Elephas maximus indicus: one gene and its partners. The protein of the gene in region 2 interacts with the protein of the main gene of each other region in a pairwise test. Links are inferred from orthologs where the notes say so. Each region holds a gene or a part of one and is shown on either strand. Other genes may lie near its edges. The genes, in order: C3H1orf216, PSMC6, CRK and PSMD9.

The links.
Region 1: the proteins of PSMC6 (region 2) and C3H1orf216 interact in binary tests that used the Homo sapiens proteins (3 or more experiments, as listed by UniProt). The two-hybrid records come from large-scale screens. The link is inferred for Elephas maximus indicus from reciprocal best matches to the Homo sapiens genes PSMC6 and C1orf216.
Region 3: the proteins of PSMC6 (region 2) and CRK interact in binary tests that used the Homo sapiens proteins (3 or more experiments, as listed by UniProt). The two-hybrid records come from large-scale screens. The link is inferred for Elephas maximus indicus from reciprocal best matches to the Homo sapiens genes PSMC6 and CRK.
Region 4: the proteins of PSMC6 (region 2) and PSMD9 interact in binary tests that used the Homo sapiens proteins (3 or more experiments, as listed by UniProt). The two-hybrid records come from large-scale screens. The link is inferred for Elephas maximus indicus from reciprocal best matches to the Homo sapiens genes PSMC6 and PSMD9.

Annotation. Positions count from the first base shown.
Region 1 is NC_064821.1:77,046,254-77,054,015, forward strand, and holds the start of C3H1orf216 (UPF0500 protein C1orf216 homolog), read right to left. Parts: upstream 3,006-7,762; 5' UTR 2,922-3,005; exon of another isoform or gene 2,898-2,921; intron 98-2,897; 5' UTR 93-97; coding exon 1-92.
Region 2 is NC_064828.1:64,960,069-64,967,937, reverse strand, and holds the start of PSMC6 (26S proteasome regulatory subunit 10B), read right to left. Parts: upstream 3,006-7,869; 5' UTR 2,834-3,005; intron 2,721-2,833; 5' UTR 2,595-2,720; intron 1-2,594. Other genes in the region: ERO1A (ERO1-like protein alpha), read left to right, coding at 3,465-3,578. UniProt on the Homo sapiens protein: Component of the 26S proteasome, a multiprotein complex involved in the ATP-dependent degradation of ubiquitinated proteins.
Region 3 is NC_064837.1:20,224,117-20,231,084, reverse strand, and holds the start of CRK (adapter molecule crk), read right to left. Parts: upstream 3,002-6,968; 5' UTR 2,866-3,001; coding exon 2,625-2,865; intron 1-2,624. UniProt on the Homo sapiens protein: Involved in cell branching and adhesion mediated by BCAR1-CRK-RAPGEF1 signaling and activation of RAP1.
Region 4 is NC_064840.1:8,176,997-8,184,293, reverse strand, and holds the start of PSMD9 (26S proteasome non-ATPase regulatory subunit 9), read left to right. Parts: upstream 1-4,291; 5' UTR 4,292-4,369; coding exon 4,370-4,507; intron 4,508-7,297. UniProt on the Homo sapiens protein: Acts as a chaperone during the assembly of the 26S proteasome, specifically of the base subcomplex of the PA700/19S regulatory complex (RC).

The DNA of each region.
Region 1 (7,762 bases), on a different chromosome or scaffold from region 2:
CTGTCTGGTTGGAGTTCGGGCTGACATATCCCAGGAGGTGGGTCCCCCAGGAACTGGCCCCCCTCAGCTAGCCCTGGCTGGATGGCAAACATCTGGTCTGTAAGGGGGAAGCAGAAGAATGAGTCACGGAAAGACAGAGTGGGGTGCCTGAAGTCACACCAACCTAGCTGCTGGGGTGAGGTAGTAAGCATGAGCCTGGCTGCTCCTTCTCAGTCCGTTTCCCTTTGTGGTTTTCCCCCACCCTCTCTGACTGTTCTCAGTCTCCTGCATAGACTTTCCTCTACCCATCCCTTAAACACTGGTGTCCTCAGCCCTCTGAGACAGGTGTCCTTCTATTCTCATTTTTATGCAGTCTCCCCTGATGACCTCATCCTCTACTGTAGCTTCAAGAACCATCCATACGTTGGTGACTCCCAAATCTGTCTCCACCTCAGATCCAACTGCCATCCGATCCTGCAACCTAGACATCCCCCAGGCTCCTCAAATTCTGTGTGTCCAAACCAGCTCTCCCTCTTCAGTGGCCTCAGCAAACGGCTCCACTAGCCATTCAATAACCCCAGCCAGAATACTGGGAACATCCTAGACATCTCACTCTTCTTCCTACCCCCTTCTAATCGGCCACCAAATTCTGTAGATTGTTCCTCTTAAAACTTTGTGTGTGTTTATGTACATGTATCTGCTCTCACTTTCACTTGATCCAGGTTACCTCTTACCCACAACTTCTTACTGCCACGGCCCTTTTACTGGTCTCTCTGCCTGTAGTTAAAAATGTAAATTTGATTTTTTACAGCTCTACGTGCTGTCACTAAACTCCTGCTAAACTGCTATATGGCCTACACAAGTCTGCTTGATCCAGCCCCTACTCACCCTTCCACACTTGCCTCTTGCCACTCTGCCCCTCACATCCCATTAAACTGTTCAGAAATCTCAAAACACACCATTACTCTCCTTGGCTTCTGATACCCTTCCTCTTTCCTTCCCTCTAAGCCCCTCCTTTTCCACTTCAAAGCTCAGCTCTAATATCCCCACCTGTCTGAAGCCTCCTTGATAATTCTCCCCTACTCCTCCCAATACACAAAAACATGCACACATTTAACTATGCCTTCCTCTGGGTCCCCATTGCCCTGGGTATACACTGTCTTATCCATGTTTGTTTCCTGTCACTGGCACATGGCTGATGGTCAGTAAATCTCTATTCAACTTTTTTTTTTTTTTACCTATGTTGTAAATAACCCATTGCCATCAAGTCGATTCCACTTCATAGTGACCCTATAGGTCAGAGTAGAACTGCCTTGTAGGATTTCCAAGGAGCAGCTGGTGGATTTGAACTGCCAGCCTTTTGTTTAGCAGCTGAGCTCTTAACTATTGCTCAACAATACCCAGTGCCGTGGAGTCGATTCTGACTCATAGCAACCCTATAGAACAGAGTAGAACTGCCTCATAGAGTTTCCAAGGAGCACCTGGCGGATTCGAACTGCCGACCCTTTGGTTAGCAGCCGTAGCACTTAACCACTATGCCACCAGGGTTTCCAAACAATAATACCTTGTAAATCTTGCTCCTGGACTACAGTGGGAGCTCCTCGATAGACTCTGCATTGTATCACCAGCTGGTGCAAACAGTCAATGCACTTAGCTGTTACTTGAAAGAAAGGTTGGAGGTTGAAGTCCACCCAGAGGCACCTTGGAAGAGAGGTCTGGTGCTCTACTTCCAAAAAAAAAAAAAAAAAACAGCCATTGAAAATGCTGTGGAGCACAGTTCTACTCTGACACACATGGGGTTGCCATAGTTAGAATCAATTAGATGGCAACTGGCAGCTGGTTACACGTCCAGGCCTCAGTGCAGAGCCTGGCATTTAGCAGGTGTCAGTATGTACTCCCTGAGTGAGTGAGCTGGGGAGAGGGAGCTGCAGCGGGATTCCCAGGTGCAGGTAACAGGAGGTTAACACTGACTGCTAAGTGCGGGATGAGCTGTGTCCATTTCCCTCCTCTGCCCCAGGGAGCCCACTCCTTGACAAGCTCTCCTCTGAGAGCCCCCTTCCCTCCCAGTGCCCCTGGAATATGTCTATTATCATGAGTCCCGACGCCTGGCTTGCTCCATCCCAAGGCCCAGGAGGGCAAGCAGGGCACACCACTCTTTCCTCTCCAATAACTGGTTTCTACCAAAATTAGGGTTTGAATTGAAAAGAGGTTCCTGTTGACCACACATTACTGGGATTAGAAAAACTGAGGATCAGTAGGAGTGAGGGATACTGTATGTGGCACAGGCACTAGGAGGATCTCTAAAGGTGGCAGGAACCCTCCCCACATCCAGCTGAGACAGAAGTCCTGGAAGGAACGGTGTAGGGATAGTTCCTTTGTCACCTGCACTCCCTACCCCACCCCCAATCCCTCTAGGCAAAGCTTATGAAAGGTGCATGGAGATCTTCCCTCCTTCAAACTTTTCCTAGGCCTGGGTGGGGCCCTGGTGGCACAGTGGTTAAGAGCTCAGGCTGCTAACCAAAAGGTCAGCCGTTCAAACCCACCAGCCGCTGCTTGGAAACCCTATGGGGCAGTTCTACTCTGTCCTATAGGAGTCTGTCCTTTGAGTCGGAATCAACTGGACCGCAACGGGTTTGGTTTTTTGGTTTAGGCCTGGGATGGGCCCTGAAGGAAGATGGGGTGGGGATAATCACGGGTTCTCAGAGATGGCAAAATTAGTAGCTCAGACACCCCAGGATCAAGCCTCTCCCCAAGCTAATTCGCAATCTACCCTGGAGGAGGACTCCCTTCCTGCCGAGCCTTGCGTTAGAGGGAGGCTACTCCCAGGAGACAGGATAGCGACCCTCCTTCCCTAATCTCCCCAAAGGAGGCAGCTGGGCCGAGGCTGCGACGCCCCCTCTCCCCGAGGCTGAGCCCACCTCTCTCCCCGGGCCCCGACTCACGGCCCAGAGGCGCGGCCCTGCGCGGCTGGTTCCGGCTCCGCTCCGGACCCCCGGCGGGAAGTCGGCGACTTGGGCTGGGGATCCCTCGGCCTGGGCGTCCACGCTGGCCGGGACGTGGGCTGCGGGGTCCGTGGCGGCACGCCCAGCCCCAGGCCCTCGCTACAGTGTCTGCGGCGTCAGCGCGGCGGGGCGGGGCGGGGCGGTGGCCCACGTGAGCCGGTTCGGTTTTCCGTGGAGCTGCGCGCTGGGGCCGCCGGAACCGCCTTCCCCCGCCTTGGGCTGGTTTTACTGAGGATTTCCACGTCCAATTTTATCGTCTAACGGCACTGGGCCCCTCCGATTGCTTCACCTCACTGCAGACAGTGATATTTTCAAAATGAAAATCTGATCATGTTACTGCTACTCCTGCCTAAAACTGTTCAATGGCTTCCCATTGCAGGGGAAACCTTAGGGCGGCTGCCGCAGGGCTCTCTGTGCGTCCTGCGCTCTGTCTGCCTGGACAGCTTCATTTTTTGCCCTCCATCTCTACAGTGGGGCCCCTGGCTTCTTTCTGCCCCTCGGCTTTTGCACACTGTTCCTTCTGCCTTAAATTCTCTTTCTTCTTTGATCTGCTCACATTTTAGAGCTCTTCTCAGGGAATCCTTCTCTGACCCCCTAGATCAGTTAGTTCCCCTTTTTATATCCTCTCTGGTCACTGTATTCCTTTTCTTCATAGCAGTTGTCACAATTTGAAATTATGTATCCTGTGATTATTAAAATCATTAAAGAAAGATTTAAGAGAAGAAAAAAAATCCACTCTGGGGCAGAACTTGGGACTAAGGCCCTGCAACCAAGCCCAGATAGATGGCTTCCCCTCCGAAGTAGGGGAATTACCTCCAAAAAAAAAAAAAATTTTTTTTTTTTTTTTACTCTTGGGCTCCTGTACTTTTGCCCAGGTGAAGAGGTAGAATAGGGTATCCAGTACAGGTTTCCGAACCCCAGTGGATTCTTCTCCAAGTCTCATCTTCATGAAGCCTGATTCCCCTCACTCCCTTCCTCCTTGGCGAAAATGTATAGGGTATTTGTTACTGTTGTTGTTAGGTGCTGTCCAGTTGGTTCTGACTCATAGCAACCCTATGCACAACAGAATGAAACATTGCCGGGTCCTGCGCCATCCTCACAATTGTTACTGTGCCTGAGCCCATTGTTGCAGCCACTGTGTCAATCCATCTTGATGGCCTTCCTGTTTTTCACTGACCCTCTACTTTACCAAGCATGATGTCCTTCTCTGAGGACTGATCCCTCCTGAAAACATGTCCAAAGTATGTGAGACGCAGTCTCGCCATCCCTGCTTCCAAAGAGCATTCTGGTTGCACTTCCTCTAAGAGAGATTTGTTTGTTCAAAAAGGGTATGGGGACCCTGTTTCCAACCAAAGGGTAGTTGCTAGAAAAGGATATCATATTTGTTCAGTGAAAATGAGAGAAACCCTCGGTGAGATGGATTGACGCAACAGCCACAACAATGGACTCAAACATACCAACGATCATGAAGATGGCACAGGATAAGGCAATGTCTCATAGGTCACCATGAGTTGGAGCCCAGTGGATGACAACTAACAACAACAATGATAAAACCAAAAAGCATTGGCTGGTGTTAAGGAAGTTGTTGTGCCATCAAGTCATCAATTGCAACTTATAGCGACCCTATAGGACAAGGTAGAACTGCCCCATACAGTTTCCTAGGCTGTAGTACTTACGGGAGGAGCCCTGGTGGTGCTACCATAAATATTTATAGCTTTAGAAACCCTATGAGGCAGTTCTACTCTGTCCTATAGGGTCACTATAAGTTGGAATCGACGTGATGGCAACAGGTTATGATTAATTCTTATTCATTCTTCCAGAGGGAATGGAAGAGGAAAAAATTATGACAAATCCTATTTTAAGAGGGACAAGGAAAAGGCAGAGGTAACTCAATCTTTGGATACTCTCCCAGCTAAGAAAGTACAGATGGAGAGCACAGCCCCTTTTCTACATCAGGTCCTGAGGTCTAACTAAATCAGTTGCCATAGGGTCCAGTTCTCGTAGTGACGCCATGTAGAACTATGCTCCATAGGGTTTTCAATGGCTGATTTTTTGGAAGTACATCACCAGGCCTTTCTTCTGAGGTGCCTCTGGGTGGGCTCAAACCTCTAACCTTTTGTGTAGCAGCAAAGTGCATTAACCGTTTTCACCACCCAGGGACTCTGAAGCTTAACTAGTCTTCCCTTTCCATTATTCACTCCAAGTTCTCCTTGCCTTTAGCCAGGGTTTTCTTCTTTATGAGGTGACCCAGATTCTAACTCCTGAGGGCCCTGAGCCTTTTGTGGTCTACGGTTGTTCTGGTCTTCCCTTACCACAGAGGGATAGTGATCATTGAATTGTTGGGCCTGCCCAGAACAGCTGCCTCCTACCTTTTCTTCTGGCTCTCCCTGCTCCAACCACACGAGTTAAATGGGTTAGTGATGAGCTAAGAGTCCAGGGATAGGAACCTCAGTGCAGGTGAGCCAGTCTGAGTCTTTCTCTGGGACGTTTTGAAATGAAATTAAAACAGGGAAGATGTGAGCCTAAGGCTGCAGCAATCATATTCCCTGCGGAGTGGAAGAAGTCAATCTGTAGTAGGAGAAAATGATTCTGACACAGAAGCAGAGATAAAAGAAAAAAGTCTTGGTGACATTCTAGGCCTGGTTTCCTGAGGCCTACCAAGTAGTTTTGTATACCTTCCAATAAATCCCTTCTTTTGCCAAGGCTAACCTGAGTGGGATTTCCATCACTGGCAACCAAAAGAATCCTGGTTAATGCAATAGCACAAGGTGGAAACCCAGGGGTCCCGTGAGTTCCACTCCTGCACCTCTCGGCCCTCATTTAGTAGTAGCGACTCCATTCCCCCTTGACAGCCATAATCTGCCCAGCCTACACTGTGATCCCCTTCTCTTCTATTTATCTAATATTATGAGGTACCTGAAAGGCAGTGGTATCATTTCTGTGTTCCCTGGTGGAAACATTCCCCCTAGATGCTAAACCTCGCTATAAGGAGAACCTAGAATCTCAGAGACAGGAAGCAAACTCTTTGAGTCAGTAGGTGCATTAGTGGGCATAGCATGCCACCCCCACTTACACTTCTTGGTATGTATGGTAGCTATGAGAGAAGAGCTATCGTATATTTGATTGTTGAGTTAAAGCCTGTATTGTACTTTGCCAAGTAGCACCCCAAACTCACCGGGTATTTTTTCCTGGCTGTCACCAAGCTGAATCATCAATTGGTCATTCCCTTGTTATAAAGCAAGATGCTTCTAAATAACCATATATGTGTTGAGACAAATGAACTTCAAGGGCATCAGACTGTGGTCTCTCTTCTTAGTCAAGGGCAACATTGTGTGGAATGCTCTAGCACTTCATAATTCATGTGTTAAGTGCTCAGACAGGGGTCCTCGCTATGCCATGATTTTCAGAGAAGTAGGAGCCAGGAGAACAAAAAGCCCTGGGAAGGTAGGGACATCCATGTCTGCACAGCCACAGAAAAGCAGATTTACAGATGTCTGTCATTCATTCACAATAGGCTTTCCCAGTCATGATGCCAGGGAATCAATCACCCCAAGTGAAGGGGTGTCTGTAGCCCTGTCCACCTACCCACATACATGCCAGGGACTTAACTGGCAGGGACACAGAAATCACCAGTGGTGGCCAGTGCCAGCAAGCCAGCTCATCCTGAAAATCCAGCAGTGGGTGGTGGGTAGGTGTCTTGGCAAGCAGACAGATACTAGAATCAAGAAGGCTAGCAGTGAGTAGCCAGATCCAGCCCCAGGGGCCAGGGGTGTCAGGCAAGGAAACAAGGGAAGATGACAGGAATTTCTATTCCAGGCAGTAAGACAGGCATAAAGTGGATACTTTCTCAATGCCAATACTTTCAGGAAGAATGGGATGGGAAGGATCAAGGTGATTCAGCCTCAGAGAGCTTTCCCCTTTCCATCCACTTGTTCACATTCAGCACACAGTTACAGAGTACTTACATTGTGCCAGGTATTGAACCTGGTCATGGCCACGGAGAGCTCCCAGTTTAGAAAGGGAAATGGACACAGAAAAAAGTGGGCTACACAATGTGATGGGTCCTGCAACAGAGGTAGAAGACAAATGTAACGAACACAAAGGAAGGCAAGGAAAGGCTTCTTGGAGGTGATATTTGAAGAGTAGAAGCTCAGCAAGAGACAGTGGGAGAAGGCAGAGGAGACTGCATATTAGAGTGTGTTCAGGGAATGTTGAGTGGCCAGTGTGCCTGGAGCTTGGGGGAAAATGGAGGTGGGAAGCTAGGCTGGAGGCTAAAGTCGGCCCGGTTGTGAAAAGTCTTGACTACCATTCCAAGCAGCTTGGGCTTCACTCATCCTGTGGGCAGTAAGGAGATAACTGAGGAAGCCTCCCAAAAATTCCACACCACAACAAAGCATACACATCTAGTCCTGGAGTACAAACAACATTATTGCTACGTGGTTTTTTCTCTTTTCCTGATCCCATATCATCAGCCCAACTTCCTACAAGGCTCTGGGAACTTAGGCAAGTAATTTTAGCCTTTATGGGTTAAATAAACATGATAATAATAATGTTATCATCACTGTGTTGTGGGGAGGCTAAAGCAAGACACTGTGTGCACATACCTTGAAGATTATTACTTTATAGCTGTGAACATTGTAACTCGGGCTCCCATAACCAGGTGGTCTTAGAGGGCTCCTGACACACCAGAGAGCTCTTAAGGCAGATTAGAAGGAAAATCATTCCCCGGAATTGGTTCATTTCAAGAAAGGAAGGCTTAGGAAGCTGATGACCTCAGCTCA
Region 2 (7,869 bases):
ACAACACACAGGGAAATCACATCAGATGGCAAAATGGTAGACAATCATACAAACTGGGAATCATGACGTAGCCAAGTTGACAGATACTTTTGGCGGACACAATTCAATCCACGACAGAAGGTGAAGATAGAAGTTAGGAGATATGCTTCTCCAACTTAGATGACTCTAAGGACCTTGAGAGAAAAGTCCAGCCATGTACATGTACACACTTATACACAATAAATATTAATTAGATAAACAGATCTAATCAACTATGTTGTGTCCCCCAAAAGTATCTGTCAGCTTGTCTAGGTCATGATTCCCAGTATTGTACGATTGTCTACCATTTTGCCATCTGATGTGATTTCCCTACGCGTTGTAAACCCTATACCTTCAGGCTTTTATTTAGCCATTCTTCCTTTTGTATCTGAATATTCCTTTTTTCTTTGCTAAATTTTTTCCTTTGAATTATTTTACTCCAGTCTACTCACTACCAGAAAGTATTTAGGTACTAAGAAACTTCCCACAGAAATCTCCATGTCTCATTTTGAGAAACTGAGCTCAAGCCATTTCCTGCTTTCGTCATTAAAAAAAAAAAAAAAAAGCTGTTATTTGCACAGTAATCAGAATTCCATCAAGAAATGCTGTGTACATTAAAACTAAGTTATGTTATTGTTATAATCACTAGTGTTAGGATAACAAGGTTCTGTTCTTGTTCATCTCTAAAAAATTTAATGTTGTTCAGGATGCGATTTAAAAACTCAAAGGTTGAACTATGTACCCTGTGGGCGTTCATTAAATAGCTATTGAATGACTAATCAGTTATTTCATGAGACCTAACACAGGTGAGATGATTGCCAGAGTGCGAAGAGTTGAACTTGTAGACTCACACAAAGACCGACTTGAAGTATTTTCAGGGAAACGTCAGTAAGATTCACACCACATGGATAGAACTATTTTACATTTCTAAAATCTCTTAAAAATATGAATGGAAAACTATAATTATCAAGACAATAAAGTAAAAAAAATATCTTATATGGAGCTTGTTTCCAATGATAAGTTTCTAGAAATTTTTTCTGGGCAAGAGTTGAGTCTTATGGAATACTTTAAGTTGCCCGAGGTTACGACCTGTTGCATCAGGGTGAAATCTTGATTTGATTAATGTTCAGACTGCTTCCTTTTTTCCTTCTTAGGCTTCATTCACCTAGTCTTTTTTCTTCTCGTGTCTCTCATTTTTTACTCTCTAATCTTCAGATATTAGTATGATGACCACGGGGAGGATATTCATTTCCACAAACACATGCAAAGACAGGCTCCGTGTTAGGATCTCTGGAAGTCATAGGTATGCTTGAGATATATCCTGCTTATAAGGAGTTTAAGGAGTTTACAATTCAGTGGTAGAAAATGCCATAAAAGATTACATGCTAAGTTCTATGAGGTGTCCCTCCTGGAACAGGGACTGGGCCTTATACATCTTTCTCTCTCCAGTGTCAAGCTCAGTCTGGCATAAGGTAAGTTTATTGAATTGAAATTCATTTAGAGGCTGGAACTGGGTGAAGAGGAAACCAGGAAGACCTCTTGGAGGAGAGAACATGTGATCTGGGTCTGGATTTGTATACGAAAAAAAAAACAAACAGCTGTATAAAAAGGGCTTTACAGGTAATTACAGAAATTGTATTAACATGTACATGCAGTATATGTGGCAGTCTGCTTCGGTAGAGATTTATAGCCTAGGAAACCCTATGAGGTTGCTATGAGTAGGAATTGACTCAACGCAGTGGGTTTAGTTTTGGGTGTGGCATGTTGTAGATGTTAGAACCAGAGCTTCTCAGGTCCACCATGGCTAGTGACTTTTTACTTCATATTGGTTTGCTTGGCAGTGGTGGACAGAGCATAGGTTGTAATAGTACGATATATGAGTTTGAATCTCACCTCTACCATGTTGTACCATTTTGCTGTTAGCTGTGGAATTGGTCCAACTCATGGAGAGTCCCGTGCACAACTGAATCAAATGTTGCTCAATCCTCAGCCATTTCCATGGTCAGTTGTAGATGCTGATTGGACCATTGTAATCCATAGTTTTCACTTCCTGATTTTCTGAAATAGTTCGTTAGGCCTTTCTTCCTAGTTCCTCTTATTCTGGAAGGTCCCCTGAAACCTGTTCAGCATCATAGCAACACGCAAAACGGCAAGCCTCCATGGAAGGGTGGTGGCTGCGCAAGAGGTTCATTGAGCCTGGGTCTCCCGCATGGAAGGCAAGAATTCTTCCACTTAATCACCTATTCCCTGGCATGGCCATGTGATTTTGAATAACATGTAAGCTTTCTGTGCCCATTTTCTCAGCTAGAAAACAGGAGCATACCTATTTGGGGCCTAGCATATCTTAAGCTACTTCATTAAAAGATGGTTAAAAAAAAAATCTATACACTTAAAAAAAATATTTGAACCTTTAATGTGCAAGAAATTAGAAAGCTTTCCAATTTCACCTTGAAATTTCCTTAAAAAAAAAAAAATGTTTATAGACTAAATCCACGGCTGAATGTTAAAAGACCATGACTGGGAATCAGAGGACCTGGCTTTACCACTACCCAGCTCCTAGTCCATGCTCACATTACCTCATCTCTCTGGTCCTGTTCCGTCCTCCAAAATGAGAGGGTGGTCTCCATCCGGACTGTCCAAATACGGTAGTCACTAGCCGCCTGTGGCTATGAAGTGTGCCTAGTCTGTATAATATATAAGCACTGGATTTCAAAGACAAAAATAAAATATTTTATGAATAATTTTAATGTTGATTATACTTGGAAACAATATTTTCACCTGTGGGTTAAATAAAATATATTAAAATTAATTTTACCTGCTTCTTTTTTGATGTGGCTACTAGAAAATTTAAATTACACATGGGGCTCGCATTATACTTTTATTGGACAGCGCTTTAAGCCAGGGACACGATGGACACGTAATTTGTACGGCTTGAGTTCCTTGCAATGAAATATCGAAGGATTGGCCAGGAGAGAGCAGGGGTGGGGCGCGGCCCTGCAGGGAAAACACAGGCCTCTCGGACTTTCGCTCTGCTGGGGAAGCTGGGAGGACCCTCGACTCTCGCCCCGGGGCTCGGGGCGGCCAAGCCGCGTCAAGTCTCCAGGCCAGGGGCGTCGAGGGGCTGGGGCGGGCGTCAAAGTGCCGGGGAGGAGGCGCGGCCGGCCGGGCGGAGCCGAACAGGGAAGCGGGTTGGTGCGTCAACCTCACGCGCCGGGGAGGAAGCCGGTCCTAGGCCGAAGGCGGCCGGCGCGGGCGCCGCCGCACGTCCTCGGGCTCTGCCGGAGGTGGCGGCCGCTGAGAGGAGGGAGAGCCGAGGGCGGGCCTGGGAGGCGGCCCGGAGGTGGGGCTCTGCCGGGGCCGGCCCGCGCGGGCTTATCTGAGGGCGCAGGGCCTGCGGCCGAGTGCTGGAGACTCCGAGCGTGGGGCGACGAGCGGTCGGAGCGGGTATGGGCCGCCGCTGGGGTTTCCTGATCGGCTTCCTGGGCGCCGTGTGCCTGCTCGGCTCGGGCCACAGCGGGCAGGAGCCCCCGGAGACAGCGGCGCAGAGGTGCTTCTGCCAGGTGAGGGTTCTGCGCGTCCCTACCAGTCCCGCGTCCCCCGACTCTGTCGTGCGCTCCGCCGCGCGCGCCCCGGCAGGTGAACGGATGGGAGTGCGGTCTTGCAGTTCTTCCCGCCTGGACAGAGACCCGTTTGCTTCTTCTGCTCCTTGACTGAGGCTGAGTCCTCTGCAGGTCGCCTTCGCATCAGGGGCGGGGAGAGGAGTGTAGTGCACGCTGTGTGTTTTTTACCGACTTGGCTTATGCCTCTTTGTTGATCGGTCCTGCCGGGGAGGATGTGCGCGCACAACACCAGTATTCTTGTTATTTTCACAGAACTCAGGTCTTCCTAACTTCTAACTTGACCTGGGACTTGTGTGCGCTGTACCTGAGCTGGGTGCCTTCCTTTCTGGCCAGTACACGCTTTTGTAGGGGAGTTGCTCTCAGAATTCGTTGTCAGGCAGGAGAATGGCTACGCCTGACTTTTCTGTGTCTAAACCGAACTGCTTGGTTTCTTAGGTGCTGCGGTTGCCCTGTAGCTCCTCGCCGTGTGTGTGGTTTCTTTTTCCTGAATGTAATGTCATTTAACCTTGAAACCCATTTAACTGGCTTGAAATAAGAAGATGGTCCTCCTCCTCAACCCACAAATTTAGTTACAAGCTTATTAGGGTCATTTTCTTCTATAGTGAAAGATGGAAACCCTGGTGACGTAGTGGTTAAGAGCTAGGGCTGCTAACCCAAAGGTCGATAGTTCAAATCCACCAGGTGCTCCTTGGAAACCCTATGGGGGCAGTTCTACTCTGTCATATAGGGTCACTATTAGTCAGAATCGACTCGACGGCAATGGGCTTGGTTTACACGTTTTTGAGCAAAAAATTTGAAGAAATGTACAGGTTTCTGGTATTTACAGTAATAGTATTTCAGTATCATTACTCTTGTTAAAGCCACTTTTTGGTTGGCTTCTGCTGATAAAAATTAAATTTCATATGAAACTGAGGGATGGGTATCCAAATTATTCCTTTTAAGTGTATTTTCTTGTTAACTTATTGTTAGAAATAACATATTATGTGTGTGGGGGCGTGATGCTATTTTATAATGGAAAAAAGTGCTTCAAATAGAGAAAAAGATGTCTCCTTCAAATTTTTGGATTTTGTCGTTTTGTGGAGTGATTTGGGAGTTGAGGTCAGTGTTAACTAGGAATGTGTGAGGGAAGTTGAGGGTAAATTCCAGCTTTACAACCAGAGGTTTCAAAGCTCCTGTGTATTCAGTGATAGCAAACAGTACACAGACAAGTACTTAAAAGGTCCCTTTTCTCTGATCACAAATATAATGTAATACAAAGTTTAAACATTTAAAAAATAAGTAACCTTAAAATTAGGTATTCAGTGCTGAAAGAAGATGTTTAATGTAACATTTCAACTAAATTCTAGAGATTTGGGTAATGGAATAAAAGTACAAGTTGAGTCCTTCAACTTTCCCTCCACCCCCCCAATTTTTTTTTAGATGTCTAATTAAAATTGGGTCATTTTACTTTTTTACGTTTATTTTCTGATCAGTGATTAGGCCTCTCTCCACCACAATTTCTTCAGATTTAAATAGTCTCCCAAAACAAAAGCCTATTTATTAGGCCCTTTTCCTGTCCTTCTAGAAGAAGTCTTGCTATCTGTTTTTTTTTTTTTTTCAGGGTCAGTTTACAAGATAATAAATTGAGGATAACATAATTAAAAAAATTTTTTTGAGAGAAATTTAAAACCATCTACTTGAAAAAAAACTTAAGAACAAAAACCAAACTTAACCAAAACTTAAGAACAGAGACCATAAATTTTAATTCAGTAAATGAAACAAAGAAAAATGTATTTCAGTTTTTTGATGGCCAGTAGTAAAAGGAGTGAGGGTGAGGGGACAAGAGGGAAAAGGAGGAGGATGTGTAGACATGAAGAGAAAATAGAGACAAGCATATAAACATGGATATAGAGAGAGAGGGGGGAAGGAGGAGAAATGAAGATAATAGAGATGAGTGGCGTAAGTTATTCATTCAACAAGCGTTTATAAACGTTATGTACATTGACCTGAGTGCTTTTGATGCAGAAATGACTACGGCATGATCCCTGCCCTGAAGAGTTCAGTTTAGTGAATAATGTTCATTTTTGGGCAGGGTAGGAGGCATCCTAAACACTTTAAAAAGTACATATTGCTAGAAAACTAAATTAAGAACTAAACTTTCACCTAAGGTTTGGAAATTATTCTTTAAATTTAGTTGCTTATTATTATGTATTATTTTTATTATGTATATGTGTTAGTTGGCTACTTCTGTTTAACGTCAAGTCCTACCAAAACCAATTTTACCGTATGTTGTAAATTCTTTTTATTATCAGTGCTTTAGTATTAGTTGCTAAGTGATCAATTTTCTGGGACTTGTAAATCTTCCTTATATATGATCCCCTGTTTTTGAAAAAATGCCATTTAATTTTTAAAAATTAAAAAAAATTGTTACACAGCAATATTGACTTCTTTTTTCCTTTTGGCATACGAGTCTATGAAGTTTAACACATGCATAGGTTTGTGTAATCACCTCATAATCAGGGTCAGCCCTTTCTTTAAACCAAAATAGTATTTGTAGTATTTGTTGTAATGAGGTTGGACTTAAAGTAAGTGAAAGACCCTCAGAGCTACTTATTGCTGTTATAGCTGCTATTGAGTTGGCGCAACTCCCAGTGACCCAGTGCACAATGGAACAAAACACTGCCTGGTCCTGTGCCATCTCCACGATCGGTTGCAGATCTGACCATCGTGATCCATAGGGGTTTCTTCGTTATGTATCACTAGAGAGAATGAAATGTAACAGATTTTAGTCACATTCATGAAATTCCAGAATGCATCTTAAAGAAATAACCTCAGAAGAAATATTGAAGCCCAGATATGGAGGCAATATGGACTTTTTTTTTTCATTTAAATTAATTAGAACCAAGTTTGTAAACTCGTATGTACTCAGTATTAATGTGGCTACTGCGTAACTGCACAGTCAGAGCCATTTAATTGAGTGTAGTAGCTTTCCTTCAGGCTAATGAAAGTTAACCCAATAATAATAATGAAATATTGTATTTTTATATATAATTAAATATAATCTTTCAATAATGAAAGATAATCCAAAACGACTACTCTCAAGCACATGGGATGCATTTTGGAATGCATGATAGTCTACATACATGTATTATGTCAGATTTACCTGTCAAGTGTCATGTTTAAAAAAAAAAAACAACCAACCAAACCCAGTTCCGTCAAGTCGAGTCTGACTTATAGCGACCCTATAGGACAAAGTAGAACTGCCCCATAGAGTTTAGGTCAATTTGAAAAATGGTTTATATTTGTTAACTGAAGTGGCCTTGTCATGGGAGAGACATCATTGGTAATATATTCAGTGGTTGGTGGAAATAAGCCCAGGATTAAAATCTAGTCAGAGGGATCTTTGACACAGGTTATACTGGAGACCTGTACACTGAGACCATTATCTCTGAATGCCGGCTGTAATCCAGGCTTTTTTGAACAAAGTGATTGGAAGAAATACTTTTGTATTGGTTGCCATACTTTGGGTGATTTGAGAACATTTTAAAATTCTAGCAAGGCCAAAAGTTTAAAGCAGAAATAGCTTTAAGTGTTCCATGTCCTTAGAATGGTGCTTACAGCCTTATAGAATCTTTGATTGGTGTTCCCAGGCTTCCATTAACAGAGTTGTCTCAGTGTACTCTGTCAGCAAGTGGATAATTTTTATGTTTTTTTTTTTTTTAATAGCCACAAAGTACAATAAAATTAAATACACCTTGAATTGTGTTCTCCCCCCTCCCCATATATGTTATAAAACCTAACATCTATGCCTGTGGTTATAATCCCATTTGGGAATGGGTTGTCTTTGTTACGCTTCAGATTCTTCTTCTCAAGTTTTGTGTGTATGTGTGTTTGTTTCTTTTCGTCTAAATGTCTCTGCTTGGCAACTGTCCCTTTGGCCTTTGCAGTCTCTAAGTCTGTTATTCTTTGTATAGTAATTTGTATCAAAGGGGAGAAATAGTAACTAATGTATGTCCTTAGGAGTTCTGGCTTTTAAGGCTCAAAATGAAGGTGTAAACAATCTCTTTAGATGTGAAAAATCAAAAAATTTTTTTCTTTTTTTTAGTGTGTGTGTGTGTTTTAGGTGAAAACTTACAGTGCAAATTATTTTCTCATTCAAAAATTTGTACACAAATTGTTTTGTGACATTGATTGCACACTTTTGTATTGTTGGTATCCAAAATTAAGACTCTAAGTTTATTGTATACTTAGA
Region 3 (6,968 bases), on a different chromosome or scaffold from region 2:
CTATTAATTTCATTTTACTTGAATCCACAATCAAAGCCCATGGAAGCAGCAGTCAAAAAATCCAATAACCTATTATTGCATTGGGCAAATCTGTTGCAAAAAACCTCCTTCAAGTGTTAAAAGGAAAAGATCTCACTTTGAGGACTAAGGTGTGCCTGATCCAAGCCATGGTATTTTCAATTGCCTCACAGGGTTTTTGGGGCATATGCATGCAAAACCTCTGAATATGGAAGACTGAAGAACTGATGCCTTTGAACAGTGGTGTTGGCAAAGAACCCTGAATATACCATGGACTGCCAGAAGAACAATCTGTCTTGGAAGAAGTACAGCCAGAATGCTCCTTAGAAGGGAGGATGCAAAGACTTTGTCTCACGTACTGTGGACATGTTATCGGGAGGGACTAGTCCCTAGAGAAGGACATCATGCTTGGTACAGAAGAGAGTCAATGAAAAAGAGAAAGCCCCTCAACGAGATGGATTGACACAGTGGCTGCAATAATGGGCTCAAACAGCAATGAGTATAAGGATGGTACAAGACCAGGCAGTGTTTCATTCTGTCGTACATAGGTTCACTATGAGTCAGAATCGGCTCAAAAGCACCTAACAACAACATTAATTTTGTATATGCCTCTCTAAAACTCAAGAAATTCTTCTGTATGGTTTCAAAAGAAATACAGCTCAATGGAGAGGAGGACAACAGAGATGAAGTAATCTTTATAAAGACAGCAACTGAATCAATTACCCTGCATAGAATATGGAGTGCATTGCAGAAACAGGCATTACCACAATGCCCATGAACTTTCCACACCCCATCCACAAACTCTGGCAATCTTCACCTTCTCTCCTGGGCCAAGGATCTAAACTCTTATCTGTTTTGAAAAGGTGGAGCTCCATACCAAGGTAAGCATTGGGAAATAAAACCATAATGCCAAGGTATGGAGAAATTTCAAACTAAAAAAGCAACCTGCTGCCATTTCCAAATTTTGTAACCAACAAAACGTACACACAAACAAAATGTTAAGAACTGAACTTCAATGAGTTTGCCTCCACGTTACTGTATGTGATACCAAACCTTAGATACCATGCAGGCAGCATCAAAGCAGAATACACCTAAAAGCAAAACCAAAACCGTTGCCATCAGGTGGATTCTGACTCATAGCGACCCTGTAAGGCAGTAATGCTGCCCCTAGGGCTTCCAATCTAGTTTAGGGCAAATGATGGTACATCAATACTCGCATCTCATGCTTAATTATATTAAATCAATTAGACTGAGAAAGATCTAGGAAAATTTATGGACTTAAAGACCTCATACTCATTTTCTAACTTGCTATGTGTTAATAACAAAGAGATTGCCTATCCTGTCTCCCCCTTTCTGGCCAGACTGTCAGTCTAAATTAGGCCTATTGTAAAAGAGCCGGCCTGCAAAGGCTGGCTCTGGAACCTCCTAATTCATATAAGACTGGCCTGGATCTAATCTCAGTTGGTCAGGAGGATAACTACTTCAACTTGGGAACAGTGAGAAGGCATCAGGACTCTTGGTCCTCTTACACAGATAATGCTAACCGCAGAATTACTCTGTACCTCACAACTCTCAAATACTAAATGCATAAATTCCATTAACACTCCTCAAACAACTTCAATGACATGACTAAATCTCAGTGATCATTGGTAAGGAAGACCAGTGTAGTTAAACACTCAGAAAATCTGATCCAGCCAGGTTTGTTCCCAATTTCCATGAAGACTCAGGCTACAGCCCCAACTTACTGAGCAAGAAGGGGCCCTGAAGTACAAGACTAACAATGTTTAAGCTCAAGGAAAAATGAAATCCATTCACTTTTAGGGAAGAGGTTGTTTCCATTGGCTTATTTCTGGTTTATTTTCTGAAAAACTCTTTCTCCCCTATGCATTGCTTGCAGAGAAGGACAGTCTTTTGGCCACTAAGATTTCTTGGATACAGTCAGCCAAGCATTAACTTGTTCTGGGCTGGTCTCAGAGGGCTTTCTTCAATCACCAAGGCACTTAGCTAATCACCTTCGTCCTCCACAGGAGAAGAGGACGGTAAAAGACTTTTGGAAAAATGCCCAAGAAAGGAAAAAGCTGACCGGTTTCCTGAGGGTGTCTCCATCCCTCTTGACCGGTATGGGGTGACTTCCTACCAAAGGCCACCAGGGGAGTATGGCCAAACCTGGCTCTCCAACACAGCAGGAAGTGTTTCTAGCCTAAAAGCCACTTGTAGGATTATCGAATTCATTCTGGGTACCGCTGCCAAGTGATGCCCCCGCAGTGCCAACATCCCCCTCAGCTCTTTGTCCCCACGTTGTCCCGCCCTGCCCTTGCACACTGGCCCGGGCACTAGCCCCACCCTGGGGCCGAAGCAGTTCCCCTTCCCCTGGGCCGTCCTCCCAAGTCACACCCAGAGGCCTCGGTCAGCCGCTCCTCCTCCCCCACACACTCCCGCTCTCCGTTGAGAACTAGCTCCAGCAGTAGGCTGCCCACTGCCCCTGTCGCTTCAGCCCTCTGTCCACGACCCTCGTGGGGGCCAGCTCACGAGAAGCAGCCGGCCAGGCTGGAGAGTTCCGCGGCCCTCACCCCCGCCCGGGGCCTCCCGTCCCGTGTGTCCCTCACCGGGCGGAGGCTGGGCGGGCGACGGCGGCACCGGGGGGCGCGGGCCGCTGCTGTTGATGATGTAGTGGGAGACGCGCGAGTTCTCGGAGACGCTCAGTACATAGTCCCCGGGGCTGGTGCTCGAGTCCCGCACCAGGAACACCCCGTGCCGCTGGCCCTGCAACAGCGCCACCGCCTCCTGCCGGCTCAACCGCCCCCAGTACCAACTACTCCGCTCCTCCGAGTCGAAGTTGCCTGCCATGGCCGCCTCCGCGCCTACACGCTGGGCCGCGGCCGCCGCGCGCGCACCCCTCCAGCCCCGGCGCCCGCCGCCGAGCGGACCGGCTCCGGTCTCAGTCTCACAGCAGCGCCCGAAATGGCGGCGGCGGCCGCGGGCCTTCCCCACCGGAAATGACGCGCTCCCAGCCTCAGAGAGGCTGCCGGGAAGGGGCCCGCCGGCCGCCATTGGGAGAAGGGCAAGAGAGACCTCTCGCACGCATTGCGCATGCATTGCGCATGCGGCCTCATGGGCGTCGCCGCCGGGCTCGGACCCGAACTGCAGAAGATGGAGAGGTGGAGTCTAGGGCCGAAGGGGCGGGGCCCCAGCCAGCGGTCCCCAGAGGTTTGTTTTTGTGCTGTTGGCTACGCGGTTCTTCGCTCCATTAGGCTTCAAGTTACTGGATGGCCCAGGACTTCTAGGCAGTGACTCCGAAACAGAATTGGGGTTATAAAAGGTGGATGTGATAAACCAGAGACTACACCAGCCGGAGACCGGAAGAGCTAGATGGTGCCCGGCTACAACCGATGACTACTCTGACAGGGACCACAACAGAGAACCCCTGAGGGAGCAGAAGAGCAGTGGGATGCAGATCCCAAATTTTCATAAAAAGACCAGACTTAATGGTCTGACTGAGACTAGAAGGACCTTCTGTTGCCCCAGGACAGGAACCATTCCCCAAGCCAATTCTTCAGACATGGATTGGACTGGACAATGGGTTGGAGAGGGATGCTGGTGAGGAGTGAGCTTCTTGGATCAGGTGGACACTTGAGACTGTTGGCATCTCCTGTCTGAAGGGGAGATGAGAGGGTAAGAGGAGGGTAGAAGCCGACAAAATGGACATGAAAAAGAGAGAGTGGAGGGAGAGAGCGGGCTGTCTCATTAGGGGGAGAGCACTTGGGAGTATGTTAAAAAAAAAAAAAAAAACGTTGCCATCGAATCGATTCCGACTCATAGGAGTATGTAGCAAGGTGTATATAAGCTTTTGTGTGAGAGACTGACTTGATTTGTAAACTTTCACTTAAAGCACAATAAAAATTAAAAACAAAAAAAGGTAGATGTGAGCCCACGACCTGAGCTCTCAGCAAGGTTCCCTGAGACGTCGGGCCTTTTCTGCTGGCTAAGTTCTTGTTTTCATTGATTCATTTAGCGAACAGCACACTTGCCAGGTGGGTGCAAAGGTGACCGAGGCTGAGCCCAACCCTCACCGAATTCGCAGACCAGTGGGAGGAGCCAGGAAAGAATGACAATGGAGTGCCAAATGCTAGGATGGGGAACAAGCCTGGGGCTCTAGGAACACAGAACAGGCTCCCTAATTCAGTTTGGGGAGGGAGGCTTGAGCAGAATGTTGAATGGCAAGTGGGGAAGGGCACTGAAGTCAAAGGGAACAGAGTGTGGTGTGGCAAGCCAGGCAGAAGTATGGTGTTCTCACTATTGAGGCTTTCAAGTTATCGGCCCAGATTCCTCTAACCCTAAATTGTGCCCGTGTGTGTCTTCCCCTCTCACCGCCACTGTCAGGATCACTTCGCTTCTGTATTACTGTTAAGAGCCTCCTTGCTGGTAGGCTTCAGTCTTTGTGCTCTTAATTGCCCCCCACACTGCTGCCAAGGGTGACCTTTCTAAAACGTCCGTCTGAGTCTTGCTACTCCGCGTGAAACCTTTAACAGTCTTCAAATGTTAAAACTGCCAGCTTCACTCACAGCATAAAGCTGGGCCACAGCCTCATCTTAACTGCTCCTGTGTGAACCCCCTGTCCCAGTAATGCCCTTTCACCCCTTATGGAACCTCAAACTCAAACGTCTCCCCTTTTCTGATCAACCCATCACTCCCTCTCTGCCCTGACAGCTTTGTGTCCATATTGTCTCCTTACAGCTTTTGTACCATCGTACTGTAATTTTTCACTTACAGCTCTGTCTGTACCCCATGCTAGAGCTTCTCAAAGGCCCAGCATCTAGTTAGGAGACACTCCTAAACATTTCATAATAACCCACCAAAATCCAAACCTGTTGCCGTAGAGTTGATTCCAACTCATAGTGACCATATAGGACAGAGTAGAACTGCCCCGTAGGGTTTCCAAGGCTGTAATCTTTACAGAAGCAGACTGCTACATCTTCCTCCTGTGGGGCAGATGGTGGTTCAAACCGCCGAACTTTTTTGGTTAGCAGCTGAGCACTTAACCACCATGCCATCAGGGCTCCTTTTTCCTAATAACAGCTAAACGTTTATTCAAGGCTTACTACCTACCAGGCATGGTACTAAATGACTTTAAATGGATCATGACATTTAATACTTGCAGCCACTTTATAGGTAGGTATTGTACAACTAGCCTCATTTTACAGATGAGAAGACTAAAACTCAGAGAGGTTAAGTGACTTGTTCAAAGTCACACAGCTGCTGAGTGAGGAGCTGGGATTCAAATTGGAGGACAACCAGAGCTATTGATCACTCTGCTATATCCTCAGACCTCTGGGATAGGAAACTGGGTGGGGGCCTGGGGAGGGGGGCAAATCTGTATTTTGAAAAAATCAGTCAGCCCTGGGTTATGGCTCATGTGAATAACACAGCTCTTCCAGGTCCACGTCACACACCCCTGGGCCCACTCTGGGTAGCATGGGGAGGGGACACCTTCCCAGCTGTGTGTGACTCACTGTAACCCCGGCTTAGTCACACTTCGTCACCATGTGCCAGCAGCAGAAGCCACTCGAGCCTGATTCTGACCCTTTGAGAAGAAGCACCTGCTCTTCATTTCTACAAGAATGCTGGCACTGAGGGACAGGCCCTGACTCAGAGACTGCCTATGAGAGTCTGAAGCCATGCCTCCCCCACCCGCAGGGCACATGGAAATGACTTAAATATTTTTTAAAAAGGAAAGAAATCATAAATGAGCTGGAAAACAAACAAAGGGGGGGTAGGCAAGAAGGAGAGATCCAGCCCAGGAAGCCACTCAAGTGGGTCCTTCCTGGGAGGGCAGAGGGCAGGAATGTAGGAACAGGAGTGGCCTTGGGGGAAAACAAAGTCATTAGTGAAAGAAGTGAGCAAGCCACCCTGCCCCCTCCCTCCTTTCTCCTCTCCTCCTCCTCCTCTCCCCTTCATAATTAAAGATTTACAGCTATATTTAGGTTTTTGCCTCCTGATAAGCTTTGAGACTTGTCCTACAAAGAAAGAGACCTCCTTGCTTAGGAAAGGCTCTGTGTGTGGGGCCTGGGGAGGTGAGGCAAGGAGTTACCTGAAGGAGATATACAGGGGGAAAGAAAGGGAAGGCTGCCCAGTCCAAGAGGAAAAGACACCAAAGTCCTCCACTCCACGCTCTACCCCCTAAACCTCCTTATTTTAGCAATGGAGGTACAGCAGGGGTCAACAGCCTGCTTGCCTGCCTGCTCTGTGTCCCCTAAAGTGACCATAGCTGGGCAGGTTGTGTGCAATGCACAACTCCAAGATACTGTGTACATGAAGCTTCTGTAGTTGGGTTACTAATATTCACTTTCCTTTTTTTTTAAAAAAAAAAAAAAAGCAGAACAAGTTTATTTGTATCAAGATGACAAAAATTGCTATTTAAAGCAAAAAACAACAGTATCACCTTTCAAAGTGCATGCTTGTCTGTGATGTCCCTCCCACTCCCACCCCTACCACCAACCCCACCCCACATGGGTAGGCCTTAGTTCTGCAGAGACAAGCAGCAGTCTTAAAGCGTGGAAAGGTAGGGCCTGGAGACAGACACTGGGGGAAAGCTCTGGGGAGAAATGTGAGGGAACTCAAGGAGGGTCTTGGGGAAGAGAGGGGGCTGGGAACACAGGCGGGAGGCTGGATCTTCCAGAAATATCAGCAAGATGTTCCCAGTGGCAACATGACCGCAAGACTTTTGAGAATGAAGATGCAAAATACTCAATTTTGAGCTGTTTGCTTCACTGCAATATAAAGCCCTCTCACTGCCCTCCATTCTTTACGAAATTCTGCTGCTCACACAAATGCCTTCCTCATCTCTACATTCATGGAGCTGAGATAGTCAAGAACACTTGAAGGAGGAGAGACGTCAGTGTGCCTGGTCTTCACTTCCCATCCTCTCCCCATGCTCACTCCTCTCAGGCCCC
Region 4 (7,297 bases), on a different chromosome or scaffold from region 2:
GCAGGTTGTTAATGAGTCTTCCTCCAATCGTGATGCCCTGTTCTTCTTCGTGTACTCCAGCTTCTTGGATTATTTGCTCAGCATACAGATTGAATAGGTACGGTGAAAGGATACAACCTTTGCACACACCTTTACAGACTTTAAACCACTCAGTGTCCCCTTGTTCTGTCTGAACAACTGCCTCTTGGTCTATGTACAGGTTCCTCATGAGCACAATTAAGTGTTCTGGAATTCCCGTTCTTCACAATGTTATCCATAATTTGTTATGATCCACACAGTCGAATGCCTTTGCATAGTCAACAAAACACAGGTAAACATACTTCTGGTAAGATCCATCTGACATCACCAATGGTATCCCTGGTTCCACGTCCTCTTCTGAACCCGGCCTGAATTTCTGGCAGTTCCTTGTCAATATACTGCTGCAGCCACTTTCGAATGATCTTCAGCAAAATTTTCCTTGCATGTGATATTAGTGATATTGTTTGATAATTTTTCCATTTGGTTGGATCACCTTTTTTGGGAATAGGCATAAATATAGATCTCTACTAGTTGGTTGGCCAGGTAGCTGTCTTCCAAATTTCTTGGGATAGACGAGTGAGCACTTCCAGCGCTGTATCTGTTTGTTGAAACATCTCAACTGATATTCCATCAATTCCTGGAGCCTTGTTTTTCGCCAATGCCTTCAGAGCAGCTTGGACTTCTTCCTTCAGTACCATCGGTTCCTGATCATATGCTACCTCCTATAATGGTTGAACATTGACTAATTCTTTTTGGTATAACGACTGTGTATTCCTTCCACCTTCTTTTGATGCTTCTTACGTCAGTTATTATTTTCCCCATAGAATCCTTCGCTATTGCAATTCGAGATGAATTTTTTCTTTAGTTCTTTCATCTTGAGCAATGCCGAAGGTGTTCTTCCCTTTTGGTGTTCTATCTCTAGCTCTTTGCACATGTCATTATGATACTTTACTTTGTCTTCTTGAGCTGCCCTTTGAAATCTTCTGTTCAGTTCTTTTACTTCATCATTTCTTCCTTTTGCTTTAGCTGCTTGAGGTTCAAGAGCAAGTTTCAGAGTCTCCTCTGACATCCATCTTGGTCTTTTCTTTCTTTCCTGTCTTTTCAATGACCTCTTACTTTTTTCATGTATGATGTCCTTGATGTCATTCCATGACTTGTCTGGCCTTTGGTCATTAGTGTTCAATGTGTCAAATCTATTCTTGAGATGGTCTCTAAATTCAGGTGGGATATATTCAAGGTCATATTTTGGCTCTCGTGGACTTGCTCTGATTTTCTTCAGTTTCAACTTGAGCTTGCATGGAAGCAGCAACCAAGAAATCAAACGACGCATTGCATTGGGCAAATGTGCTGCAAAAGACCTCTTTAAAGTATTGAAAAGCAAAGATGTCACTTTGAAGACTAAGGTGCGCCTAACCCAAGCCATGATATTTTCAATTGCCTCATATGCATGTGAAAGCTGGAGTATGAATAAAGAAGACCGAAAAATTGATGCATTTGAATTGTGGTGTTGGTGAAGCATATTGAATATACCATGGACTGCCAGAAGAACGACGAAGTCTGTGCTGGAAGAAGTACAGCCAGAGTGCTCCTTGGAAGCGAGGATGGCAAGACTACATCTCACGTACTTTGGACGTGTTATCAGGAAGGAGCAGTCCCTGGGGAAGGACATCATGCTTGGTAAGGTAGAAAACAAAACCAAACCCAAACCCAGTGCCGTCAAGTCGATTCCAACTCATAGCAACCCTATAGGACAGAGTAGAACTGCCCCATACAGTTTACAAGGAGCGCCTGGCAGATTCGAACAGCTGACCCTTTGTTTAGCAGCCATAGCACTTAACCACTATACCACCAGGGTTTCTGGTAAGGTAGAAGGTCAGCAAAAAAGAGGAAGACCTTGGACAAGATGGATTGACACAGTAGCTGCAATAATAGGCTCAAGCATAGCAAGGATTATGACGATGGTGCAGGACTGGCCAGTGTTTTGTTCTCTGTGTTGAACCAACTCGAGGGTGCCTAACAATGGCATGATCTAGATAAAATGAGTTCATATTCAGATTTCACCAGTTGTCCCAATAATGTCTTTCAAAGCTGTTGCTTCTTAAAAATCTATCCAATCAAGGATCATGCATTGCATTTAGTTGTCTTACCTCTCTCCTTTCGTTGTCAATGTAAGAAATGTTAATGTATTTAAAAGCAATCAGTTGAACAAAATGTAGGAGGCCTAATGTAATTGATGGAGCCCTAGTGGTACAGTGGTTAAGAGCTACAGCTGCTAACCAAAAGGTTGGGAGATGTAGCCTCTCCTTGGAAATCCTATGGGGTGGGTCTACTCTGTCCTATAGCATTCTATGAGTCAGAATCGACTAGATAGCAATAGGTTTGTTTTGTTTTTGGTTAATGTGATTGGTTCTACTTTTTTTCTGTAAGAGATGATTGTTTGATTCTGAAATAATTTCAAACTTACAGAAAAGTTGCAAAAATAGTACAAAGAATGTTTGTATGTATTTTACCCAGAGTCGCCAGCCCTTTACATTTTCCCTTATTTATCATACTTTCTTTGCAAATACAATTCACATTTTCTTTTGAAAACATTTGAAAATAAATTGCCCCTTCCGCCCCTAAATAATCGGAGTGTATTTTCTAAGGTCATTCTCTTACATGATCACAGTGCAAGTATCAAAATTAAGAAACTTAACATTGATACTACATATACCCATATTCATAGTTTCTCTAGTTATCCCAATAATCTTTTACGGTTGGTAGGGGGAAAGGTAGGAAACCAGAATCCAATCAAGGATCACGTATTGCATTTGGTTGTTTCATCTCTTTAGTGTCCTTCAATCCAGGCAATTTCGAGCTTCCGTGTGTGTGTGTGTGTGTGTATGTGTGATTTCACAACATTGACCTTTTTTTAAGAGTTCAGGCCAGTTGTTTTGCAGAATGTCCCTCAATTTGGCTTTGTCCATTTGTTTTCCTATGATTAGATTCAGAGTAAGCACGTTTGGCATGAATACTACAGGTGATGTCCTGTCCTTTCGGTGCAAACTGTTACACAGCACACGTCAAGATGTTAAATTTGTTCATTTGGTTAAGCTGGGTTGGGATTTTGGCTTCACATTTCACAAGTTGGGCAAGTTGGTTAGTGAGTCAGTTTTCTTGTCTTCAAATGAGTAATAATAATACTGGTTTCATGAGCTTGTTGAATACATATAAGGCACTTAGAATAGTGCCTGGCTCTTTGCAAGCATTCAGTAAATAAATTATTAATATTATCATCACTGCTATTTTTACCAAACTGTATGTTGGTGTATTAGTAGGTGTGTGGAGTTGATTTTTGACTAACAGTCAGAAAATCATGTTCGACTCATAGCCACTCATGTGACACAGTAGAACTGCCTTCATAGGTTTCCTATATGCTGTAATGTTTACGGGAACAGATCACCAGGTCTTTTCTCTCACAGAGCAACTAGTGGGTTTGACCTTTTGGTTAGCAGCTGAGCGCTTAACCATTGCACCACCAGGGCTCCTTCCAAAGTGTATCCTGTGCCCTTGCTGTTGAGTTGATTCTGACTCATAGCGACCCTGTAGGACAGAGTAGAACTGAACTGCCCCATAGAGTTTCCAAGAAGCTCCTGGTGAATTTGAACTGCGGATCGTTTGGTTAGCATAGTTCTTAACCATTATGCCACCAGGGTTTCCTCCAAGGTGTATAAAGACCTAATATGCGCTGTGCCCCATGCTGCACGTTCTTTTTCATTACTTTTTCATCCCTCCAGTGCAGGGCGCATAGGAGGCATCTAAAGAGTATTGTTGGCTGACTGACAACTCTGAGATAGATTGCTATCAATATCGCACCATTTTACAGATGAAGAAACTGAGGCTCAGACAAATGAGGTGATTTACCTAGTGTCCCATAGATTGCCAGAAGTAGCAAGAACCAGGATCTGAACCTAGATTTGTCAGATCTATTGGAAAATGGGGGATAAAGAAGTGAACTTTTGTTATATTCGTCAAGGGCTGTACAGATGTGAAGGTCTGAATTGCAGCGCCTTGCACAGTGCTCTGGCACATACATGCAGTAGGTGCTCAATAAATGCTTCAGAAGTCCCCCGGCTTCGGTAGGGCGGGGACCGGGAATTCCAGGCGGCTCCACGCCCGGGTGCCACAGAACCACGTGTTCCACCAGGGTGTGGCTTTCTGTGACCCCGCCCCACCACCGAAGCCACGCCCTTAGGCTCGCGCGCTTAGACAGTTGGGGTGTTTTGGCCCGCAGGGGGAGCCGTAGCCACAGTCTCCTCAGGCGTCCGTATCCAGGGAGCGGGGTGTCCAGAGCCCTGGACCAAGCTCCAAGATGTCGGGGAAGGACCGTGGCGAGAGCGAAGGCGCCCCGCGGGCCGGCGCGGTGACAATCAGCGACATCCAGGAGCTAATGCGGCGCAAGGACGAGATCGAGGCGCAGATCAAGGCCAATTATGAAGTGCTGGAGAGCGTGAGTGTGGGCCCCGGCTCCCGGCCGGGCGTGGGGGCGCCCCGAGGCCTCCTGGCTGCCACCCGCAAGCCGGGGCGGCCTCGGCCCTGGCTCTTAGCCCTGGAGCTCGCCCTTCCTGGGAGGCCCAAGGCGCTGCAACTGCGGCCTCTGTCGGCAGCAGGCAGCACCGACAGATAACGTTAACAATAATAACAACGTTGACAGGATGGCAAGCGCGTGTGGAGCCCTTACTGAGTGCCAGGCGCTGTCTTCAGTGCTTTACATCTGTTAGGCCATTTAAGGCTCCCACCAGGCCTTTGAGGTTATTACTGTTAGATGCTGTCGAGTGGGTCCCCGCTCATAGCGACCCTAAGTACAACAGAAGGAAACACCGCCTGTCCTGCGCCATCCTCACAATCATTAACGTTTCAGCTTATCGTTGCAGCTGCGGTGTCAGTCCATCTTTGTTAAGGGTCGTCCTCTCCTTTACTGACCCTCTGCTTTATCAAACATGATGTACTTCTCCAGGGACTAGTTCCTCCTGATAGCGTGTCCGAAGTATGTGAGATAAAGGCTGGCCGTCTTCACTTCTAAGCAACATTCTGGCTGTATTTCTTCCGAGACAGATGTGTTCATTTTTCTGGCAGTCCATGGTGTATTCAGTATTCTTCGCCAACACCGTACCTCGAAGGCATCTTCCAGCTTTCACATGAATATCAGGCAATTGAAAATACCATGGCTTGGGTCAGGGCACCTTAGTTTTCAAACCGACATCTTTGCTTTTTAGCACTTTAAAGAGGTGTTTTACAGCAGATTTGCCCAATGCAATACGTTGTTTGATTTCTTGACTGCTGCTTTCATGGGCATTAATTGTGGATCCAAGTAAGATGAAATCCTTGACAACTTCAGCCTTTTCTCCGTTTATCATGATGTGGCTTATTGGTCCAGTTGTCAGGATTTTTGTTTTCCTTATGTTGGAAAAAAAAATATTTATTTATTTTTTTTTATGTTGAGGTGTAATCCGTACTGAAGGCTGTGGTCTTTGATCTTTGTTAATAAGTGAAATAATAGTGTCGTTTGAGGTGGGTACTATTTCTCCCATTATAGGAATGAGGGAACTGAGGCATTCTTTAATTTAAACTTGCCTGAGGTCACAGAACTAATAAGTTGTGGAGAGGGTGGTGGTCACCACCACCATCAGTCCTTGTTGAACGTTTACCAGGGTGGTGTGCTTTGTTAACTATCTTACATTGGTGTTTCTAACTTTAATGAGCATTAACGGAGGTCTTGTCAAAATGCAGGTTCCGAAGTACAGGGTTGTGTGGCCAGACACTCCGTTTCTATCAAAGTCCAAGGGGATGCTGCTGCTGCAGGTCTAAGGACTGCACTTTGAGTAGGAAAAAGCCTGTTGGCCTCCGAGTTGATTCTGAGTCATAGTGACCCTACAGGGCAGAATAGAACTGTCTCATAGAGTTTCCAAGGAGTGGCTGGTGGATTCGAACTGCTGACTTTTTTGTTAGCAGCCAAATGCTTAACCACTGCGCCATGTTCTGTACTCACCTGAGTAGTACTGGTGGCGTGCTGGTTAAGCAGCATGGCTGCTAACTAAAGGTCTATGGTTCAAACCCACCAGCCGCTCTGCAGGAGGAAGGTGTGCCAGCCCGCTTTTGTAAAGATCATAGCCTTGGAAACCCTTTGGGGCAGTTCTACTCTGTCTATAGGGTCACTGTGAGTCCAAATCCATGACAGTGGGTTTTGGTACTCACCTGATAAAGGGGGCTTATTGCTACGGAGGAAACAGGTTGCAAGTGGGGCACACCTTTGCCCAGGATCGTGCAGCTTGGAAGTGGCAGGGTGGGGCTTGTTCCCAGGCCTGTCTGGCTTCAAAGCAGTTTTTCCTATGCCACCCACTGTAAAACCAAACCACAAGTCAATTTGCAGGGGTCAAGTAAATCAAATACATCTTATATAGGACAAAATGGGGTGCATTTTAGGTGGTGGAAGTAAGCTGAAGTGTCACGTGGAGGCAGGGTACTATTTTACTGGTGTTAACTGTATGCCTGAACAGTGCTGCTTTTCGTGTGCATTAAATCGTGAAACCCTCACAACTGCCCATGGAAGTTGGTGTGTTCTCCTGAAGCTTCAAAATGGGAAGTCACTTGTTCAGAGTCACAAAGTGGCGTTCAGACTTCAGGGCTGTTTAGTCCAGAACCTGTGCTTTCAAGCTCATGCCAGCAATTTCTCCAAAGTCAGTTACTTTTCTACCAGATGCTGAAATCTGTATGCTTCCTTGCTGTTAGTCTCTTGATTTTTTTTTTTTAAAACTGACATTTTCTTTACATTTCTTAAATTTAAGAAAATCTTCTTTTTCTTTAAAGAAATGTATTTTAAAAGGAAACTTTATATTTCTGCAGCATCTGGAAAACCAGAATCTCTTCCCTTATATATAAGGTAAAAATGCCGAGCAAGGCGACAGAAAGTGGTAATTGCCTCCAGCTAGCTCCTTTGCTTCCTGAAGGCTTTCATCTTGAACCTTTCCTCTCTATTTGTTGGAAAAGAAGTAGAGAGCTAAAACTATAAATCTCTTAAAATAAAATAGGGGGGTAAATCTTCCTGATCTTGAGTTAGGCAGAGCCTTCTTAGATATGACACCCAAAGTACAAAATCAAACCAAAAAAAGAAAGAAAAAAAAAAGGATAAATTGGACTCATTAAAGTTAAAAACTTGTGCTTCGAAGGATGAAATCAAGAAAGTGAAAAGCCCCCTTTGTCACTGGGTGGTGCCTGGCTGCCGTCACTGAACATTTTGATC